Arabidopsis thaliana: one gene and its partners. The protein of the gene in region 4 purifies or fractionates together with the protein of the main gene of each other region. This does not show direct contact. Each region holds a gene or a part of one and is shown on either strand. Other genes may lie near its edges.

Region 1 (4,593 bases), on a different chromosome or scaffold from region 4:
CGTCCGGGTGGATGTCATGGGTTTCTGGAGTTGATCCACCAGCAAGTATTGTCTACGGAGAGTATAAGAATACGGGCCCGGGTTCAGATGTAACGCAGAGAGTTAAATGGGCTGGATATAAACCGGTTATGTCGGACGCCGAGGCTGCGAAGTTTACAGTGGCTACGCTTTTACACGGAGCTGATTGGATACCGGCAACAGGAGTGATCAATCAGCTATCTTAATATAGTGACAATACAATTGGATTCGTAGCTTGTTTTTGAAAACATCCGGTTGTGATCTACTTTATATTTGTTTGACACTTATGCATGATCTGTAATTTTTTCCAACATAGTTGTATTTTGTGTATCCCCTAATACGATATCTTCTTGATGTAGAACTATCAAAGCTACTCGCTTTTTGTAGCTCACACCTTGAACTCGAATTATAACACAACGATGATACTGTTACTAACCATTACTCACCTTCATATCCTTGTCATCGGGACATTGTCGACGATGTTACTAACAAACGGGATGATCATAAATCCGATAAAAATCTAATTATCTGATGGCGATTAATTAGGAGCCGGCTCCTAAACAAAAATCTAACTCAATACTAATCTATCCACACTAAACAAAACCAGAATAAACAAGATTAACTTGTGGAGCAAGCCAGAATAAATCTATCCATATAGTCAGGACAAAGCCAAGTCGAAGAGCAAGTAACAAAACGTAAGTGGTAGGAAAGGAAATTTTATAAGTCACAAATCCGAAAGGTTATTGAATGACATGGGAGCCAAAAGATTCTCTTACACAACCGACTAAAATGTGACATGATCCTCAATCTAACAGACAAAAGTAACAAGTTTTGTGACACAAGCTGATAGGTAAATTACCCAAATTGAGTTTTTTCAATCAAAGACGAGCGATGACTGCTTCGACTTCTTGTGGAGTGTAGAGATGATAAGCTGGTGCTACCTTGGCAATATCCACGTTATTTGGAGTCACCTATCACCAACCAATACAATTAGATTGAGCAAGAACTTCTGTTTACAGTTTTGGATTGTAAAATTTGTACCTTTTCTTCCATAACTTGCTTTAGGATAGATACAGCGATAGTCTCAGCTTCTTGTAGAGACAAATCCTGCAACAAGTTAATGAAACTAAAGGTTTTAATGGCAAATAAAGTGATGTAATCAAATAATTTATTGAAAAACAATTGGGAAAAAGTTCAAGTTACTTTGTTGAATTGCTCTTGAAGAGAGCTATCAGCTCCTTCAGAACCTGAACCAATTGCCTTTGCATTGCACTGCCAGAATGTTCCTGAAGGATCAGTGTAGTACCTGTAACAAGACAGAGTCATTTACAAGAAGATAAACTAACTTACACAAGTGAACCATTTCAGTAGAAGAAATCCAACTGAAGGAGAACTTACAAGCTTGGTCCATTTTCATCATGGCCAGCAATGAGAAGAGATACTCCAAACGGCCGAGACTGTAGTCACATTAATGACAAAGAGAATCAGTACACACAATACAACGACTAAATATGGATATCCAACTTATCAAGGTTTTGTTCTAATCAGTAATTCCAATTTTGATTATTACCATTGATTCTTCCTCTCCTTCACCAAACCGTAAAGCCAGATCACACAGTGCTTGTGTTGTGGACTCTACAGTCATCGGCTCACCATACGAGAATCTATGGTTCTGTACAAGAGCAAAAGAAGCCGTCAATAACACATAAAAGACCTGTTGAAGCTAAAAGAAAAGACCCTAGAGACAGAAACCTTACTTGAGTTTCAACTCTAGCATGCTCAACAAGTGTGCGCGCGTCAGCAATTAAACCGCTCATAGCACAACCAATATGGTCATCAATTTCCATAATCTTCTCCACACTGCTCGGTTCCTGGGGAAAAAGAAAAAGCATTTAACATATACTGAGAAAGCTAATATCACCATAACTAACATAGAAAGCTTATATGCTTCTGCTTGATCATATCATCAGATTCAATTCAAATTGTTCCAAAATAGTGAATCACAAGAAAAATTCTGAAAAACATAGAATTCAAAGTTAGCAAGCAAACCAGCAATGGCGACGTGATACGCTTCTCGACAGCAAGCACAACTCCTTCTTTTGTCTTTACTCCAATTGCAGTAGAACCAAGCTGCAACAAAATTCAACACTCATCAGAGTCTCAACAAAATTCAACAATCCCTTTTACAAATTTGAAATGCAAACTACATCGATTAAACAAGGAAATGTGAGCTAGAACTTGTGCAAATAAGCTAAAGCAATCAAAGAAAACCGTAAATCAACCATTACCCTTTCTTCAAAATTTCTCGATTTCCATAGGAAACTAACAAATTGAGGAATCGAAAAGTTACCTTGATAGCTTCAATGGCATATTCCACTTGAAATAGCCTTCCTTCTGGAGAAAAAGTGTTCACTCCTCTGTCATACTCAGTTCTTCGCACAACAAAATCAGAAACCACCATAAGCAAAACAAACGATTGAAGTAAAGGAAGAAAATTTCAATGAACCCAGAAGTAGATAGAGATACCTAGTGAGAAACATCTTCTTCTTCTCTTCCGATTTCGATCTGCAAAACCTCTTAAAGTCCTTCGCACAACGGAATCAAAACCCTAGAAAAACAACGGATCTGAGTTAATCCAGAGATTCAGAGAAAATAAAAATCATCACAATGAACTTGTTGAGAGTATAGAATCAAACCAGCTAATTGATCTGCGAATCGGAGAATAAACAGAAGCTTTTGCTCTCTTTTTAGCTTTCAAAGACGCACTTCTTCTTGAAGAACAAGTTAGATTGTTTCTAAACGCAGCGTTTTTTATAATGGGCTTTCATGGGCCTAACTATATTAAGCCTGGGTCACCCAATTAGGCCTTTCTTTGTATTTTTGAAAAATTATGAGACAGCTATAGAACTGACTGGAATTTGAACATGTTCCAATTTATCTCAATGTCAGAAGTTAAGTGTAACAATAAAAGAAAAAGACAAAAATTGGCAGTCCAGGTTATTATTTTTTTGCTGTACACAAATAAATGTTTTTTTTAGAAATAATTAGTTTTAGTGAATAAAACCAAACAGAAAAGTACAAAATAATTGAAAGAGTGTTGTCTCGTAAAAGTATGGGAACGATGAAAAGCTGTGACTTGTTGCGAGACTTCTTCTCCTTCCAGACGCAAAAGTTTGTCTTTGGTCAGTCTCTCTTATTTCTCTAAACACTTTTGCATGATAACAACTATTCGAATTTCGTTACTAAAAGACAACAAGAACAAAACTCCTTATATATATTAATGGAAATAGTCTTCACTAGTGTTTGTGTTTTTTCCTACCAATTTTAGAACTCCAAAAAAAAAAAAAAAACTTATATATTCTAGTGATTTGTTCTAGTACACTTATGTTTAGGTTTTGGTTTCGATCTCTTTCGATTTAGGCTTTAAAATTTCTGTTTTGTAATGTGTTCATGTTTCCCCTTTATAGGGTTTTAGACTCCAAAAAATTTACGTTTTCCTCCAGCTTTAGTTTTCAAGGACTTTTCTCTCGTACGTCGACTTTAGTTTCCGATGACTTTTCTTTCGTCCATCGGCTTAGCTTCCCTTGTTTGAAATTTGTATTTCACCATGGTTCCAAAACAAGTTTCAGATGAAAGAAAAAAAAAGTTCTAGTACACTTATTTTATACCACTCAAGTTCAACGCACAAAATTACAATTCTATGTTCAACTTTTTTTCGTTTAATTCTGCAAATTAATTTACAGAAAAAAATCCGTTTTTTTGAAAAGAAGTTTTGCGATTCGTTATTCCATATCGGCTTTTTACTTTCTTGCATAAACAATAAACGAACATACATGTTGATAATTGAAACACATAAACAGTAATTTCTTGTGTTTGTTTATGTGTATTTTACTCTCTTTTACTTTGACTGAGTTAATGACAAGTATTATTGCAAGGTAGACAACCACATGAGCTACGGCCGGTAACCAAATAGCCTCGGCGGTTTGTCAATTTCCTCGCCGTCTCGGCCGCTTTCTGCATCTGCTCAACATGTTGCTGCCTCGCCGTAGCTCTCCAATCTTCTGCTCTCCGGTGCACCATATCCATTCTCTTCATTAATTTCTCCTCTAAATTTGATCTCATCTTCTGTATTTTCACCTACAACAATAATTACCACCCCAAATATCACACATTAATTATTTAAAACTTCATCACTCAACTACATTTATGGACTATTAATTATGATTATATAGCTAGATAATTATGATTAATAGTTAATAATTAAATTTTAGTCTCCAAATTCTCAAGAGAGGAAATTACTAATTTTTTCACATGGGACTTGCACAAATTACAAGTACGACTATCATGTAGCTACTACATAACCACCAAAATCGCAGACATTAATTCTTGAAAATTAATCATTTCAATATAGCTACATTTATTTTTAAAGTTTAATCCAAATTATGTAGCTAGATGATAGATGATTGATAATTTAATCTAAGACTCCAATTTCCCAAGAGAGTAAATCAATCTTTTCACATGGGACTTGCACAAATTACAAGTACAGGCTACAAAGATGTCATCCCAATTTTAAAA
Region 2 (6,288 bases), on a different chromosome or scaffold from region 4:
CAGACAGCAGCTGCTACAGTACAGTGAAACCTCGTCATCATCATCAATATATGATACCTCTGGTACTACAACTCCAACCAACACAACAGAAGATATCTGTGAGAAACCAAAAACAGATTTGGATTCTGAGGCCAAACTTAAGACAGTGGAGACTGAACTAGACCCACGTCTGGGACGGAGCAAGGGTGTGTTAAAATTGGGATTGAGTGTCTTCTCTATTGCAGTTGCAGGGTTTGCTTCTTTCATGTGGATGTATCTCCAGGATGATATGATGCCTCCTCATCTTGTTCCGACTTAAAAAGTCTAAGGGATGAACATTAAAAAGCTTAGAACTTACATAGGTTCAAATTCTAGCTTAGTTCTCTTGTTCTTTTGTCAATGTGTGGATCATGTTCAAATACTAGTTTGTTTGTTTTCTTTTTCCTAATGAATTTGTCACTTGTTCAAAAGTCGAAACAACTGTTAACCAGACATATTTACATAGGTTCAATTTCTAGTTAGGTTCTCTTGTTCTTTTGTCAATGTGTGGATCATTTTCTTTTCCCCGAATGATTTTGTCACTTGTTCAAAAGTCGATTCAAATAGAAACCAAATTGACATTAATACAGAGTTAAGCCAAAAATCCTAGTAATAATTTCACTAGCTAAACCGGAAAATCTGAGTGTTGAGACGAGCCAAAACAAGGCAAAACAGAAAAAGAAGGCAAAACACTTAAGTTGGTGGTGCGTTACAAAGATCACAAATCTTAAACTGAGACATACCAAAATTTTCTCAGACTTTCAGGAACAGAAGGTTACAAAAGAAGAGAGTTTCACTACGAGGTATTTGTTCTCCGGCTTAGTCTTCCTCCGCACCAGCACCTGCAGCTTGAGCTGCATCTCTCCTTGGTCCACCTGCTGGTTTCGCCATTATAATCTGCACATTTTACATAAATTTTGAGTATAAACATGCATGTTTTAGTAGATGAGATCAATCAGTGGAACTGAATATTGAATCTAAGAGTTTTCACGAACAAGGGACTTAATCCTGGAAGATAATGCATTCACCGAACAATATCTTTTTACTTCATGTGATGAATCAACACTTTACAATATAATAAAAAATTGCTCCGTTCACCAAAGATTAAATCAAGTCAGTTTGTGCATACCTGGTCTACACGAAGTACAGTGCATGCAGCATCTGAAGCATATTTAAGGGCAAATAACCTGCACAGAGACTTAAGCGTCTTAGTTATCAATTAAAGTGAATGGTAATCTTTGTAACCAGTCAGAAAATTCTACTCCAGTTTTTATATGTTCAAGAACAACTGCTAAGCAAGTATAGAGACGTCTGATAGAAATATTTGATGGCAAAAAGACAGTCTGAAACTTACTTGGTTGCAAAAAGATCCCATACTTTTGTCTCTGAAACATCTTTACAAGCACCTTCCTCTAAGTCAATGCCTAGTTTTGTGTTTCCAGATCCATGTCCAGTGTACAGAGCGGCTATGATTTCCATCGCATTGAGGCCAGCATTATCTGCAAGGGTCTTGGGTACAAACTCAAAACTCTCAGCGTATTTGGTGATGGCATATTTGTCCAACCTGAAATTTCAAAAGCGAATCCTAAGTTCAGTCCCCAAACCATAGACAGTTTTGCTTTAAAAGCTAGCCTCACATGTTTAATTTTTGAAAAAATGAAGTAAAAGAAAGTTACCCTATTTCTGCATTGGCGTATTCCTTCAACCTTTGAGCCAACTCTATTTCAGTCGCTGCAGCCCCGGGAACAATACGGCTGTCTCTGCACATGGCCTGAAAATAAAATTGAAGTAATAACAGTCACAAATTAATGAATTATACGATATAGATGGTACAAATGAAGCTAGATATTACCTTGTATGTGTTAACTCCATCATCAACAGCTCTCTCAAGGTCGTCCAAAATGCTATCTGTGCTTCCACGCAAGACCACAGTGGAGATGGAGTTACCACCTTCCTCGTTTCTTGCAATCGTGACCTAAAAGAAGACCGAGAATTGTCTATGATTAATGAAAGACAAAAATAATTAACCAAAAATATTGGAATTGACTTCGGAGTACTTACTGTCACACCACCAATTTCCTCAACCGATATAGAATCAACATATCCAAGATCTTCAGGGCTTGGCCGGCTAAGCTTCAACTGTTTGATAATTAAAGGATTAAAAGCTAGGATAAAACCACCCTTAGATACTCATTCAGATAGCCAATTAATAACACTTACATGGGCGACAGCCCCCGCTGTACGGCAAAAACGCCTCAGTTCAAACTTTGAGCTGATTTTCAATACCATTATCCTGCCAAGAAAAAATGGGGTATCAGAATGCAGACAATAACAATAGCTAAGACGAGTATAACATGATATGGTCTACACATACTTGTAGCGCTCACAGAAATGCAATGCCATTTCTCCAATTGATCCTCCACTAACAATGACTTTGGCTCCTGATTCCGCAACTGCTTTAATCAACTCCTCAACTTTAGCTTCCTCTGTCTTTGCATAGTTCTCTAGCTACAAATCCAATATAAAAAGAGAAATTTGTCACAATAACGATTACAAATACACAACCATCTTTGAGGAAGCCATAATCGTAATTTTGAAATTTTAGAAAGACAGTAACAAATCTAACCTGCTCAGCACTATGAATGAGGACAGTTCCTTTGGTCTCTGTTGCAGTGGTATCAACGCCACCAGCAAATACAGCAACCTGAAGAAAGCATAACAAATTGATTTAGAGACATTAAGCTATCAAAAACAGAAAAGACAAACCCACAAAGCTATATTTCATAGGGGACCCAAACATTGATCAATTCAGACAAAAAAAACTTTGTCAAAAGCATAAACAAAAGAAAGAGATCTCACCTTCGCTTTCTCCATTCGCTTAATGCTACCAACAGCATCACTTTTCAAGACCATACCACGGACTATGCAAGAATTGTGCAAGCCTCCTCCCAAAAGCTTGGAAACACGAACATTATCCACATTGAAATTCGTTGGATTCTTTGGGCAGACTTGAATACATGCCTAGAAATAATATGAACCCATCAAGTAAAATCTAAATCTGCAATAAACTTGAATAAATAACAATCTGAACAACGAAACAGGAAACAAATAGATAGCAAGGAATATCTTACGTCAGTAACTAAAGAGCAAATTATTTCCTCTTGCCCAAACTGCTTGCTTGCAACAGCTGCTCTCATCCGAGAAATAACTTCATCCTTGTTACGTACATCCATGGTCTCAGAACCAGTCTCAACCAGTTGTTCCAGTATTTCAACAGCCTGCATAATCAAAATCCAATAGCATTCGTCAAATACTCAAGACAAACAAATTGAAAAGCACAAAACAGTAATTCAGGTATTCACCAACCTTGCTGACAGCTTTAGTATATCCACTAATGATCTCACTCGGATGAAGTCCCATCCTGATAAGCTCCTCAGCGTTTTGAAGAAGTTCACCAGCAAAGGAGATTGTCAGATTAGCTCCATCTCCGATTTCTTCTTGCTGAGCCTTAGCAGCTAAAACCAGAAGTTTAGCAGCCGGGTGCTGAATCTCGAGCTCATTCACTATAGTAGCAGCGTCATTTGTGACAAACAGTTTGTCCAAATGATTGATAACCATTTTATTCATTCCTGAAACATTATAAACAGAAGAACTCAGTTCTAATCCGAATCTGAATCCCTAGAAAAAGACTTCACCTTTACAGTAACAGATCAAGCTTGCTTAAACTATACACAAGCGAGATCCTACTTACAACACTCAAGTAAAAGTAAAACGAAACGGAGAAAACGAGATTCATCATTTCAGTATTAGATCAAATCCCAATCAGAGAAACATTACGAACCATTGGGACCGAGAGAGGTGCGAGTAATGGTGGAGAGCTCCTTGCAAGCTTCAATGTTCTTAATGACGGCTTCGTCGAGACCAGAGAGATGCCTGTAACCTTCTTTAAGCATCGATTGAATACCATATGGCTGCATCGACATACCCACCATTTTCTAAGGTAACGATCTATAAGCTTCGAAGTTGGGTCACTCGAAACAATAGAGCAAAAACCCTAAAAGCGAAGAAGAAGAAGCTCTGTGAGATTTTCGAAGAAGTTTAGAGAGAAGGTTTTCTGTGAGTAAAAGTGGCCGAGATTGCCCTAGAAAACTTTCGAGGTTTTAAAATGGGAGTTCACAACGGTGTCGTTTTAAATTTTAAGGGGATGGGGGCCAAAAATTGAGATCTTAAATCTTTAGGGGTGAAAGTTGTATTATATGAAAGTTTAGGGACGAATAGAGAACACCATTCCTTCTGGTTTTTGTGCTAAACGGTGTCGTTTTAACTTTTATGGTGATGTGGGCCAAAATGTGAGATTTTTGACATTTACGGATGAGAGTCTTATTATATGAAAGTTTAGGGACTAAAAGAGAAATAACTTGAAAATAACATGATATGAACTTTGAAGGAAAGCCTGAGTTTTTGTTTTATCAGATGTGCGTCCCCTTAAGAGGAACAAAAGACAATGTAAGTTTTGTTTAGATAAGCAGAGAAAACACACAGATTAAAGATGTGTATTAGGTTTTTAGAAATCCCAACCCTGAAGAAAAAACATAATTCAAAACTAAGTTCTTTTAATTAAGTCATCTTCTTCTTTCCTTGCATTGATTCCATCTTTCAACTCAAGTTAATTGTTTCCCCCGAAGCTCCATCAAGGGCCTAATATAACAAAACAATCAAAATGAAACAATCCCAGAGACTGTATCAAGAGGGGTGGTTAATGTGCTTTAGATGCAGCAGGGTTTAAGGAATTGTACCTGTTTCTTTTGCTTGATCTTCTTGTCTCTGATGATCTTCTGCCTTGTCTCATAGAACTTGTAATCATCAAGTATACATGTCTTGCTCATATACTCCTTGAAGATCTTTATGATCTTGGTCCCATGCTCCAGATTCACCTGTACCAAAACCATCACCGTACAGTTTAAAAGCCTGACTAACAGCCATAATCATTATTTATTAGAATTCAATTAGGCTTCAAACATGTCCAAGAAAGGGTTTAGGGGAAGTTCAACGGACCTCTTGAGTGTCTCTGCTATTAGTGACAGGCTTGTTCTCGTTATTCGCCAGGGTAATGTGTCTTAAGAGACTGTTTGGTATGTCTTTGATGATATGCCACTTCACAGGGAAACAACCAATCCATTTATCTTGCTGCCAATACTCCATTGTCTTGTTGAAATCAACAGGGCCTACCATCTCCGCAAGACCAACAAATTGCCCACTTGCATTCACCTGTAGATAAAACCGATTACAGTGAGTTACTTAATGTAAATCTGAAAGGATATTGCACAAGACGTGAAGTAACCTCATACTGACCGAGAACAGAAGATACACAGGGCATTCTTGGGAGTTTTCTTTGGCTTCATAATATGCAGCATTCAACTTCTTGTTGCCAGTTGGTGTGCTCGACCATGCACCATACTTAATACAGTTATGAACATCATCTTCGCTGTATGACTTGATCACAAAGAATTTTGCTTTCACAAATGATTCAGGGAAATTCTCCCCATTGTAGCGCTGGAGATCTACTGCTGAAACGTCTTGCTTCATTGCATCTAGCATTGAAGAGTTAAGAACTTGTGGATTCTTGAAATCACTACTCCTTGGTCCTCGACATAGCTCATTAAGCCTATCTGCTTTCTCATCACTGTAACCACGCCCATGATTGAAGCTTCTGGTCTTTCTATAACCATCAACGGGATACCATCCTCGCCCAAGTTTCCAGGAATCATAACCAAAAGTTCCATATGCATGACCAGAGTCAATTACATTCCCGTAAAGTCCATACAATCCATGGTTGGAATACAAATGATCATTATATCCCAATTGGTCAAAACTTGGTACTTCTTGTGAGCTGTGTGGATTCTGTTAAATAAAACAGTTGTAGCCAGTAATTAGACAAAAAAAAAATCCCAAGTCCCAGCAGAGATGACGAAGAGAACAAAACACACATTCTCTTGACTATATGAAGACAGAAAAGAGGCAGAGAGGTCATGTGAAGTAACCAACATACCATGAGATGTGAAAAGGAACTGTGATTGCTGTTGCGGTCATAACCAAACCTCGGATCAGGGTAGCCACCAGAAGGATAGTTTGCTGGGATGTAACCCCACGGGTATGAACCAATCGAGTCTCCACCATTTAGCAGATTGCCAGCATTCATGTTTGGCCTTCTTTCACTTCCATGAGAAGATGCACCATAAGGTGCATGACCATACGGATGCTGAAAAGAAC
Region 3 (3,291 bases), on a different chromosome or scaffold from region 4:
AACACGTGCGTCGTGGATTACAAAGCTTATGAGTATTATCATGGGCCTTACATTTTAAATGGGCCTTATTTATTTTGGGCTCAGTTTACTTTCTCATCTCTAATTAGACTCATTCACAAGATTGCAGTAGATTTATTTATTTTTAGTTTACGAAATGTAAATGTTTCGTTGACTTTTAAATGTGCTTCTTCAGTTACGTGTATGAATTTGTATTGAACAATTGAACTTCCACTTAATATTGAGTTATTGACTAACTGGTACGTTAATCAAGTTTTAATTCTTAGTATTTTGTATAGCTTAAATTAAAATTAACTTTTGTTGAAACAGTGCTCATTTAGTTACCACAAAATCAATCTCAATAGTCACGTGTTCTCAATTGTTTCTTGAAAGTTGGGAATTATCATTACCACATGTTCTCTTTTTACTAACAAAAGATCAAACCAATAAAATTTTAAGACAAGTTCCGATGGACCCGGTCAACCAAAACTTTGGTCAAATCTGTAGAATTCCCTATAAATTAAATTTTACCTCTTCCTTAATCTCTCAAAAATAACTCTTTTCTTCTTTTTAATCTTTTTTAGCACTAATCATAAACCACAAAAATACATAATTAATCACCACAAAAGCAATTCACATTCACCACAAAATGACAATGACACTTAAACTCCTATCTCTCGCCGTGGCTGCCTTGGCCATCACCGCCGTCTTGGCCGCCGATCCTCCAACACCGGCAAACGCACCGAAAGCCAACGGCGAAAAGAACTCTACCTCTCCTTCTCCCGCCGCCGCAGCATCCCCAAAATCACCCACGGCCTCCGCCCCAACCTCACCGCCTACAGCTGCTCCAACCATGGCCAAGAAAAATTCCACCGGAACTCCAAGCCCTTCCCCATCTTCCCCATCTCCAAAGTCATCATCAGCCAAAACTCCGGCTTCAAGCCCTGACTCAAGCTCCGGTGATTCTTCCGAAGGTCCTACCAGCTCCTCTGACGCACCTACCGCCTCCTCTCCGCCAGCTCCGACTCCAGAAATGTCTCCATCTTCCGATGACGGAACTGGCGCCAGTGACGGCCCTGAAGCTTCGGCTCCTGCGGCAGGAGCCTCATCGCTTGTGATCTCTGTCTCGGGCTCTGTTCTCGCAGCCGTTGCATGGCTTTTCTTCATATGATTGAATATTACTAGTATTTTCTTGGAGATTTCATACTACATTTAAGATTATATTATACGTTTCATATTTCAATTTTTGGGTTTATTTTAAAACAGTTTGTTCTCCGGCCCGATTTTTCACACGTTAAATTCGTGCATAGTACGGAGGTTAGGATATTTGATGTTGTTACAAATGTTTAGTTTGTGTTATTTATGTTTATGTAATCTTTAGTCATTATAACAATAACCATGAGATTCTCATTGTTCGAAGGGTCTATTTGTAATTTAATCACATTCATTTTCTAATGATCCTTGCATGGCTAGTATCTATATGTATATAGCATCTCCTTAAGGACAACAATGGGGAGCAACACATATATTAGGTATAGCGTTACAAATTATAGTCTAAATCAACAACAACAAGAAGAGAACCATAATATCAACAATGGGGAGTTCTATTCAATTTTTATTTTTTTGATGAATTCTCTCTCACTTATTTCAAAAAAATATTTCTAAACTCATTATAATTGAGAGCATTGACTCTCTCTAGAGAGCTTTGAGAATTTAATAGAGTCTGACACTTGTCGTCTTGTGATTGGACGCATATTTTTAACAAAAAATAAAGAGATTTTTTTGTTTTCATTCTTTAATTTTTTTTTTCTTTTTCTACCACAAGCTATCAAACGATATGGCTTTTTCGTCCCGTATTCCATTTTACGATGTCATAGAGTAAAGTTTTGATCAATTACTCGATCAACAATTTGATAATATATTCAATTTTGTTTTTGCACATCTATTTTAAAAAAATATTTCAAAATAATGTATGTTTAATATGTTATGAATTACAATAATTATTAAGTCTTATTAAATAAAAAAATTTTAAAATAATATATTTTTTTCTGAGAACCCCACTAAGAGAAACTTTGACTGGAGTATGAATTTTTTTTAAAAATACTAAAGCTCTCTTTTTAACTTTTTTTGAAATTTATACTTAAAAAAATAGAGAGATCCTATGAGGAACTCTTTTCATTGGAGATGCTCTAAATACGTTTAAATACATATGATTTTATATAGCTTTCACTTCTCACATACACTTACAAACCGGTCACAAGCACAAGCGTGCCAAACCCAAACTTGCGGCCGCAAATACTATAAAAACAATTTCAGCTTTATAATTTTGTATTTGTTAGGTAGTCTAGTGGTAAAGGCTGGTTCTAAATAATCTTCAACACTAAGGTTTGAGTCACTAGAAACGCTAATTTTAACAATTTCCTTTTTAGAATGTTTAAACTATATCCAGTTTTATATTTAGTTTAATCATAAATAATAATTTATTATCAATATGTGTAAAACAGCCTTTTTATTTTTAGTCGTCTTAAAATACTTAAAGACGGCTCTTTAAACAACTAGTTAAAAATACCCTAACCATATTCTAAACATAGTTTAACTTGTAACCATTTTCTTATAGATATAGAAAATTGAACAGCTCGTGAACTCGTATGTGAGTTATGAAACACAACACCTAACCGTAAATAACAATATACAACCATCTCCATTACAAGTTTAAATTCCCAATCTCCATTTCTCCTTCACTTTCAATTCACCTTGATTGTTTAATCGATCTACTTTTGTGAACCTCACAGAAAATCATCGTATATACAATTCAATACTATAACCCCACAAAGGTCCATTTGAATAAAAGAGCCTAGGGGATCAATATATCATCACGTACTATATTACAAATTATACGATGGCGAGTCATTTCTTCCTTGTCTTCATTTTCGTAATTCTAACCGTGGCTAATGGAATTTCAGCAGCTGATTCTGAAAAGTCTCAATCGCCATCTTCATCAAAGACTCTTGCTGACAACAAACCAACAGTAGATAACTCTACAAAGAGTTTGATTGATAGTCTTGGTCCATCTCAAGATTATCCGGATTACGAAATCCCCTTAGAACTTGCACCAGACGGTGTTGTGGTGGTGGGGGATTACGCGCCCATTAGTCCAAGAGGAACCCCCGATACGCTTGCTCAATCTGAAGCGGATCAGGATGTCAAAACCTCGACATCTAGCTCCGCCTCTAGATCTTCTTCAACCGTTTTGGCTATTGTTGTTGTGATGGGAGGAGCCAGCTTATTTTTCTT
Region 4 (5,756 bases):
GCAGCAGCTTTCTGACGTGTCACTGGCGACGAAACCGCAACATCCGTCTCCGTTTCGAATCCGCGACCAGGCTTGACGCGAACGGTTCCATCGGCGCCGTCCATAATCTTCAAGCAGAGATCGTAACAATACAAGTAAGAGAGAGAGAAAGAGAGAGAGATTTTTAGAGAGCCATGGAAATTAAAAAGGAAGTAATCGAGGAGAGATCTAAGGAGCTGTCACGGTGTTGGTGAAATCCCAAAGACGCCAGAACGTGGACTATTTACCAGAGATGAACTGGCAAAGCTGTCTCCTCTCTATTAAATTTAATCACATTAATTAACAACAATAAACAAATTTTATTAGTTTTTTTTAGAGTATGGAAGACTATACATGTGCCAGTGCCATCATAATTTTAGTTTTTATTATTAACTTGCAATCTTTGATGAAGCAATTTTTTATCGTCTGACTTTTTGTCAGCGCAAGGTTTGGATCTATCTCCTGGGGCACACACGAGATTATTCTTCTCGTTCAGTAAATTCATGTAAATTTTCTAACAATTTAACCAAAAACTAATCCACCAACACTTGAAATAACCAATAAGTGGCAAAACACTTCGTTAGTGTACAGATCCATAGTACAATTTTTAAAAGGAAACACTGATTCGAGTTTTTACCACATAAAGATGCTAATAACTCAACGAAGAAGATCCTGAAAAGTTTTCATGAAGAAGACCGCATGTTTTCAAGGTCTGAGAGCGGCTTTGTGAACCATGGTTTCCTTGTGAATTTGGTGGCAACTCTTTTCCACAAGATCTAGAAGCTTCTCCAAATTCCCTGCCCACGAGTTTAGAATCTCGTTGCTGTCCTTTGCGATCTGGAAGCACACAATTCCAGATGGTCTGTCTATTTTTGCAATCAGTGCTTTTGACACTACCATCTCCGATAGATGCTTCTCCGCCTCCTGAAATCACAATTTCCAACAATTATAACAAGCAGAAGCATAGTTGATATAGCCAGTGAGATTAGATCAAACATACCTCCATGCTCAGGCATAAAAGCTCGGCAAGTCTCTTTAAGGTTATCCTTGCGTAGTACTTTGAGACAACGAGGATATTCTGCAGAATAAATTAATAACTTTAAAGCATCAATCAACTTATGTAAACAAGCTTAAAGACAAATTGAGAGACTTACATGTTCGATGATTCTCAGTTTCAGATCTTCACCAGCTTTGTCACCCAAAGAACCTCCAATCATGCTTTTCTCTTTCTCGAACTCATCCTTGTATTTGTTCCACAGAGATGTCCATTGAATAACCTCCATTGTCACTACCTGTTTTAGAAGCATCCTGAAACGGGTGATATCAAACAAAGAAAAAAAGACTGAGAACCCATTTGAGTACAAAAGAATCAGTTATTGAAATAACAAAATTTATCAGAAAATAAAATATACTTGAAATCAGGGATTTCTGATAAATTCTTGTCTTCCAGAGTTGCATTGAGCAAGCTTGATTGCATTGGGTCATGAGGTGCCAAGACCAAGAACCAGCAGATCTTCCTCAGGACCTAATGTTTTGAAGATCAAAGAAAGTTATTACACTAACCCTATAGAATGTATACTAACTATACATCCAATCAACGGCATGAGCTTACCGGAATCCACTGCTCCGGAGTTTCTTTTACTGAAGGGATATCATATATCGCCTTGTAGCTACGGCAGATTTCAATGTACTCATTGTTATGAGAATAGTACCTACATAGTTGAAATTTTTTATGGTTAATAATAAAAAAGATGAGAATGCCACAGAAATCAATCATGGTACGTCAGAATTCAGTGGATAACATAATGCAATTGATGTCCAAAATCGTTGGCCATGAAAAGAGAGTCATAAATTTGACACAAAAGGAGATTCATCCAAATTTCGATACTGTCCTCCAGGAAAAAGTTGTAATATGCATCTCTGAGAAAACCATAGCAAGCAAAAGCCACACAGATTGATAGAATTTAAGAGACAGAGAGAGAGGTCCATAATTAAACAGTCATATAAGAATTTAAAATGCCATGATAAATGATGGAAATACAAATCACGAACAATGTGATAGAGAAGCTCAAGAAGGCCGTACCGAATCATAAGCTCGTAGTAAATTCGCTTAAGCTCCAAAAGGGTTGGTATATCAGCAGGAGCCTCTTCTACCATGTTATCACCTTCCTTAGGTTTCTTCTTATCTTTTTTTGTATCTGCGTCAAAAACTCTAGGATTGATCTTCCTAGATAAGATTTGTGCACGAACAAAATCTTGACGATCCAAGCACAAGCGAACCTTTAAAGTTTGACCACAATAGTTTGATAGTTATCACAATGAAAGAAAACACCAGCAAATTATTAATTGCAACGTAACTACACAAGTCCTTACTTGTTCAAGGATAAATGCAATTTTCTCAGTTTTTGCCATAGCACCAAATGTCTCCACCTGTTAATTATTTATCAAATTGCAGGGGTTAACAAGGGAAGAAAATTTCCAGGAGATTTAATAGCCAAATGCACAAAATCTTACAGCAACTTCTTGCATAAGATCTGCAGCTTCAGCTATCTGACCCTGTTCTTCCTTAATCTTAGCAAGTTTCTTGGTGAGACGTGCCCTCTCGATTTCAACATATATCTATACATGTAAAATGCAATGGTAAACAATTACACAGAATGATGAAGTTATTATAAAGAATACACCATCAGTTTCATAGTTTCGCACCTTTCCAGCAGATACATTGTTCAGCGTCTTGATAAGCTCTATCCGAGTTTCAATGTCTGGTGTCTGATCGATATACTGCATTGCTTGCTGCACCATGGATTGCACAGCCTGCAAGTGGAGAAGTTCACAAAAAAAAAATCAGTGATGTTGACTTATCACTTTGTATCCTTACTTTTAACTATAATTTTGTACATGGAAAGGTGAAGCTAATTCTGTCTGAAGTAACTAGACCAAGAAAACACGCAAAGCAAAAGTAAAACCAACGAAACACTGAAAATCAAACTAAGTTAAGTAATAAACTGAACTAAATACAAACATCACTATCTGCAATGACCCAATTTAGCTTTAATATTTGAGTCAACAGTGAATCTATCAAAATCATAGAGAGGAATCGTAAAAGCAACCTATCACAGGACAACATCCCACAAAAAGAAGCTTGTATCCAACACAAAGTCGAATCCTCCTGAATTTGTGCTAATGTCCTTAATCTCTTTCCAAGATTAGGGTTACCAAAAACTAGGCCTATGCAATTCCTAAGTCAAATGTGGAACAAATCACATTCAAAACTCAAACAAAATATCCAACTTAAACAAATCCTTCAAATTATCCCAAACCAAAAGTTCATGTTCCTTAAGAGCTTAAACCACAAACACTGATAGGATATAACCAAAATTCCAAGTACCTGTTTGAGCTGACCACGTTTCTTAGAGAGATTGAGAATCTGCTCATTCAGAAGTTTCCAATCCTTAGCATCGAAACAAAGCTGAAGAATCTCAGTGGCGGCTTTCCTTGTACCGGCTACGTTTTCGGCGAGTCTCATCTGCTTCTCTTCATTCAGAAGCCGATCTATCGTTGCCTCAAGCTTCCCGCTGTCTCCCTGAAATACAAACTATGACGGAATGAGAAGATGCAAAAATTTCGAAAACGAGAAAAAAACTTAATATCAGATCTGAGTAATTGAAGACTCGCCATCGTGAGAAATCCAACGAGAATCAACTCAAAGTAGTTGAAATTCTGGTGACGGAACGACGAAGCTTTAAACTATGGAGAAAGAGGAGACGGACGAGAGAGATGAGAGAGCTTTTGGGAGTAGCTGAGCACAGATAATTCGCAGAGTTCCCAACCCCTTGAACAAGAAATCTCAGATTCTTCGGCCGATGGATCTTTTTACATGGGCTGCTAATGGGCCATTAACTAATTGTTTTGAGTCAATCAGGTTTGGTATGTAATACCGGTCTAGTTATATGGTATGGTGTTGGTTCAGAAGTATCGAACCGATCCCATTGATTGAACAAACTCACGTCGTTCGTTCTTCCGCCCAAATCTCATGATATCTTCGAATTTTCGTAGCGAAACCAGAGATTCTATAATGTCGATCGAGAACTCCCTGTCTCGAGATTCAATGGTTTACCTTGATTACTGGAAAGATCTTTTCTGAATTTTTTTCATCGAGGAGAAGAACGTTAAGGAGGAAGAAGGTGAATCTTACTTCTGTGAAACTCTTATTACGCTCTTAGAATTCGAATATTGATCCTCTTACATATTCCTTAGATTCGCTGCTTACCTCCATCAATTGTGTTAACTTCGGTATTGGTTTCGATTTGTGCTCTAGAGATTATTTGCACTAGGAAGGTGAAGGAACTGTAGCCGAGACTCTGTTTTGCAATGTGCAAGGTGATGGATTAGAATAATCTGCTTACAGCTAGGAATCAGAGTTTCGAAATGATGATTTCTGGAAGCTTCTCTTTTGGTCGAAGACGCGACTATGGGACTTAATTTCGCAGTGCCGATTTTGCTGGAGTAATCAAAATGCGGTTTTGGAGGGAACGTGGCAGGGAAAATAAGGAACATATGGTAGCGCCATTATGCGGCCAAATTCGAGTATTGGTGGTTGGTGATTCAGGTAATATTAACAAATTCTCGTTTCCATAGATTTGGTAATGGTTCTAGCTTTTTAAGTAGCCATTTAATGGAACTAAAGAAAGTTTGTCGTAGTGCACAAACTCATCCTTAAAGAAGGAGCTAATGAGAAGATTTCTCATGATGATTGGATATGAGTTTCTACTTGTGGAACCTAATAAGAGTCAAGTTTCGTAAGTCTACTACATCTTCTCCACTATTGAGCAAAGTTTTATCTCTGGATATCAAATTAGGTGTGGGAAAATCATCTCTTGTGCATCTCATTGTCAAAGGCTCCTCTATTGTTCGCCCATCTCAAACTATTGGATGTACAGTTGGTGTCAAGGTAACTTAAGCTGTTCTATAAAAAAAATTCTCGATATGGTTAAAGAGAGCATGGGATAAGTTTCCCTACTTAGTTTCTGGAACTCTCTTTGGTGCAGCACTTAACTTACGCAAGTCCTGCTAGTTCTTCAAGTATCATTAAAGGTGACTCAGAGAGAGATTTCTTCGTCGAACTTTGGGATGTTTCAGGTCATGAACGATACAAAGATTGCCGCTCACTGTTCTATTCACAAATCAATGGTCTGTCTCAACAAATGTCATCTCTGTCCCTGTTTTGTCACTGATGCGACTGTTTGATTATGCAGGAGTTATTTTTGTTCATGATCTTTCGCAAAGGACTACAAAAACTAATTTGCAGAAATGGGCGGGTGAAGTTTCAGTAACTGGGGAGTTTTCAGCTCCCCTTTCTTCTGGTGGGCCTGGTGGTCTTCCCGTCCCATACATCGTTATTGGAAACAAAGCTGATATTGCTGCCAAAGGAGGAACAAATGGAAGCAGTGGCAATCTTGTTGATGCAGCTCGTCATTGGGTTGAGAAGCAGGGTCTGCTTCCCCATAGTGATGAACTTCCTCTCTCTGAGAGCTTCCCTAGCAATGTTGGTCTCATAATGGTAACCACAGACTAAATTACTTGCTTTATTTGAATTTAGTGTTATGCGGTATGTCATATAATTTTGGTAAAATTATGCACAGGCTGCCAAGGAAGCTAGATATGACAAAGAAGCTCTGACCAAAATTTTCCATATGGTTGGTGTCATTTCTGACCTTGCCATGTTTTACAATAGCTCT

Evidence for each region.
Region 1: the proteins of EMB2107 (region 4) and PAE1 fractionate together in Arabidopsis thaliana (co-fractionation; one large-scale study listed by BioGRID). This does not show direct contact.
Region 2: the proteins of EMB2107 (region 4) and AT3G03960 fractionate together in Arabidopsis thaliana (co-fractionation; one large-scale study listed by BioGRID). This does not show direct contact.
Region 3: the proteins of EMB2107 (region 4) and AT3G27415 fractionate together in Arabidopsis thaliana (co-fractionation; one large-scale study listed by BioGRID). This does not show direct contact.

The regions. Positions count from the first base shown.
Region 1 is NC_003070.9:20,103,235-20,107,827, forward strand, and holds PAE1 (20S proteasome alpha subunit E1), read right to left. Parts: upstream 2,844-4,593; 5' UTR 2,715-2,843; exon of another isoform or gene 2,627-2,714; 5' UTR 2,559-2,626; coding exon 2,545-2,558; intron 2,451-2,544; coding exon 2,369-2,450; intron 2,149-2,368; coding exon 2,068-2,148; intron 1,890-2,067; coding exon 1,776-1,889; intron 1,691-1,775; coding exon 1,589-1,690; intron 1,476-1,588; coding exon 1,417-1,475; intron 1,325-1,416; coding exon 1,222-1,324; intron 1,126-1,221; coding exon 1,060-1,125; intron 990-1,059; coding exon 897-989; 3' UTR 522-896; downstream 1-521. Other genes in the region: PME1 (pectin methylesterase 1), read left to right, coding at 1-224; AT1G53860 (Remorin family protein), read right to left, coding at 3,931-4,155. UniProt on the Arabidopsis thaliana protein: The proteasome is a multicatalytic proteinase complex which is characterized by its ability to cleave peptides with Arg, Phe, Tyr, Leu, and Glu adjacent to the leaving group at neutral or slightly basic pH.
Region 2 is NC_003074.8:1,022,154-1,028,441, reverse strand, and holds AT3G03960 (TCP-1/cpn60 chaperonin family protein), read right to left. Parts: upstream 4,299-6,288; 5' UTR 4,011-4,298; coding exon 3,860-4,010; intron 3,648-3,859; coding exon 3,385-3,647; intron 3,297-3,384; coding exon 3,150-3,296; intron 3,040-3,149; coding exon 2,878-3,039; intron 2,723-2,877; coding exon 2,645-2,722; intron 2,527-2,644; coding exon 2,393-2,526; intron 2,312-2,392; coding exon 2,239-2,311; intron 2,158-2,238; coding exon 2,080-2,157; intron 1,994-2,079; coding exon 1,871-1,993; intron 1,790-1,870; coding exon 1,695-1,789; intron 1,583-1,694; coding exon 1,373-1,582; intron 1,206-1,372; coding exon 1,148-1,205; intron 916-1,147; coding exon 838-915; 3' UTR 551-837; downstream 1-550. Other genes in the region: AT3G03970 (ARM repeat superfamily protein), read left to right, coding at 1-298; ECT1 (evolutionarily conserved C-terminal region 1), read right to left, coding at 4,675-4,716, 4,815-4,952, 5,074-5,286, 5,371-5,919, 6,068-6,288. UniProt on the Arabidopsis thaliana protein: Molecular chaperone; assists the folding of proteins upon ATP hydrolysis. Known to play a role, in vitro, in the folding of actin and tubulin. Contributes to stem cell maintenance through its impact on transcription factors trafficking through plasmodesmata.
Region 3 is NC_003074.8:10,145,248-10,148,538, reverse strand, and holds AT3G27415 (uncharacterized protein), read right to left. Parts: upstream 1,474-3,291; 5' UTR 1,169-1,473; coding exon of another isoform or gene 1,165-1,168; coding exon 637-1,164; 3' UTR 547-636; downstream 1-546. Other genes in the region: AT3G27416 (uncharacterized protein), read left to right, coding at 647-1,168; AT3G27410 (uncharacterized protein), read left to right, coding at 2,897-3,291.
Region 4 is NC_003076.8:3,088,739-3,094,494, forward strand, and holds EMB2107 (26S proteasome regulatory subunit, putative (RPN5)), read right to left. Parts: upstream 3,858-5,756; 5' UTR 3,697-3,857; coding exon 3,694-3,696; coding exon of another isoform or gene 3,690-3,693; intron 3,602-3,689; coding exon 3,407-3,601; intron 2,833-3,406; coding exon 2,725-2,832; intron 2,638-2,724; coding exon 2,533-2,637; intron 2,449-2,532; coding exon 2,392-2,448; intron 2,299-2,391; coding exon 2,102-2,298; intron 1,731-2,101; coding exon 1,631-1,730; intron 1,544-1,630; coding exon 1,431-1,543; intron 1,327-1,430; coding exon 1,169-1,326; intron 1,097-1,168; coding exon 1,019-1,096; intron 943-1,018; coding exon 668-942; 3' UTR 540-667; downstream 1-539. Other genes in the region: AT5G09890 (Protein kinase family protein), read right to left, coding at 1-104; AT5G09910 (Ras-related small GTP-binding family protein), read left to right, coding at 4,534-4,627, 4,878-4,969, 5,067-5,208, 5,274-5,578, 5,661-5,714. UniProt on the Arabidopsis thaliana protein: Acts as a regulatory subunit of the 26 proteasome which is involved in the ATP-dependent degradation of ubiquitinated proteins. Required for gametogenesis and sporophyte development. Acts redundantly with RPN5B.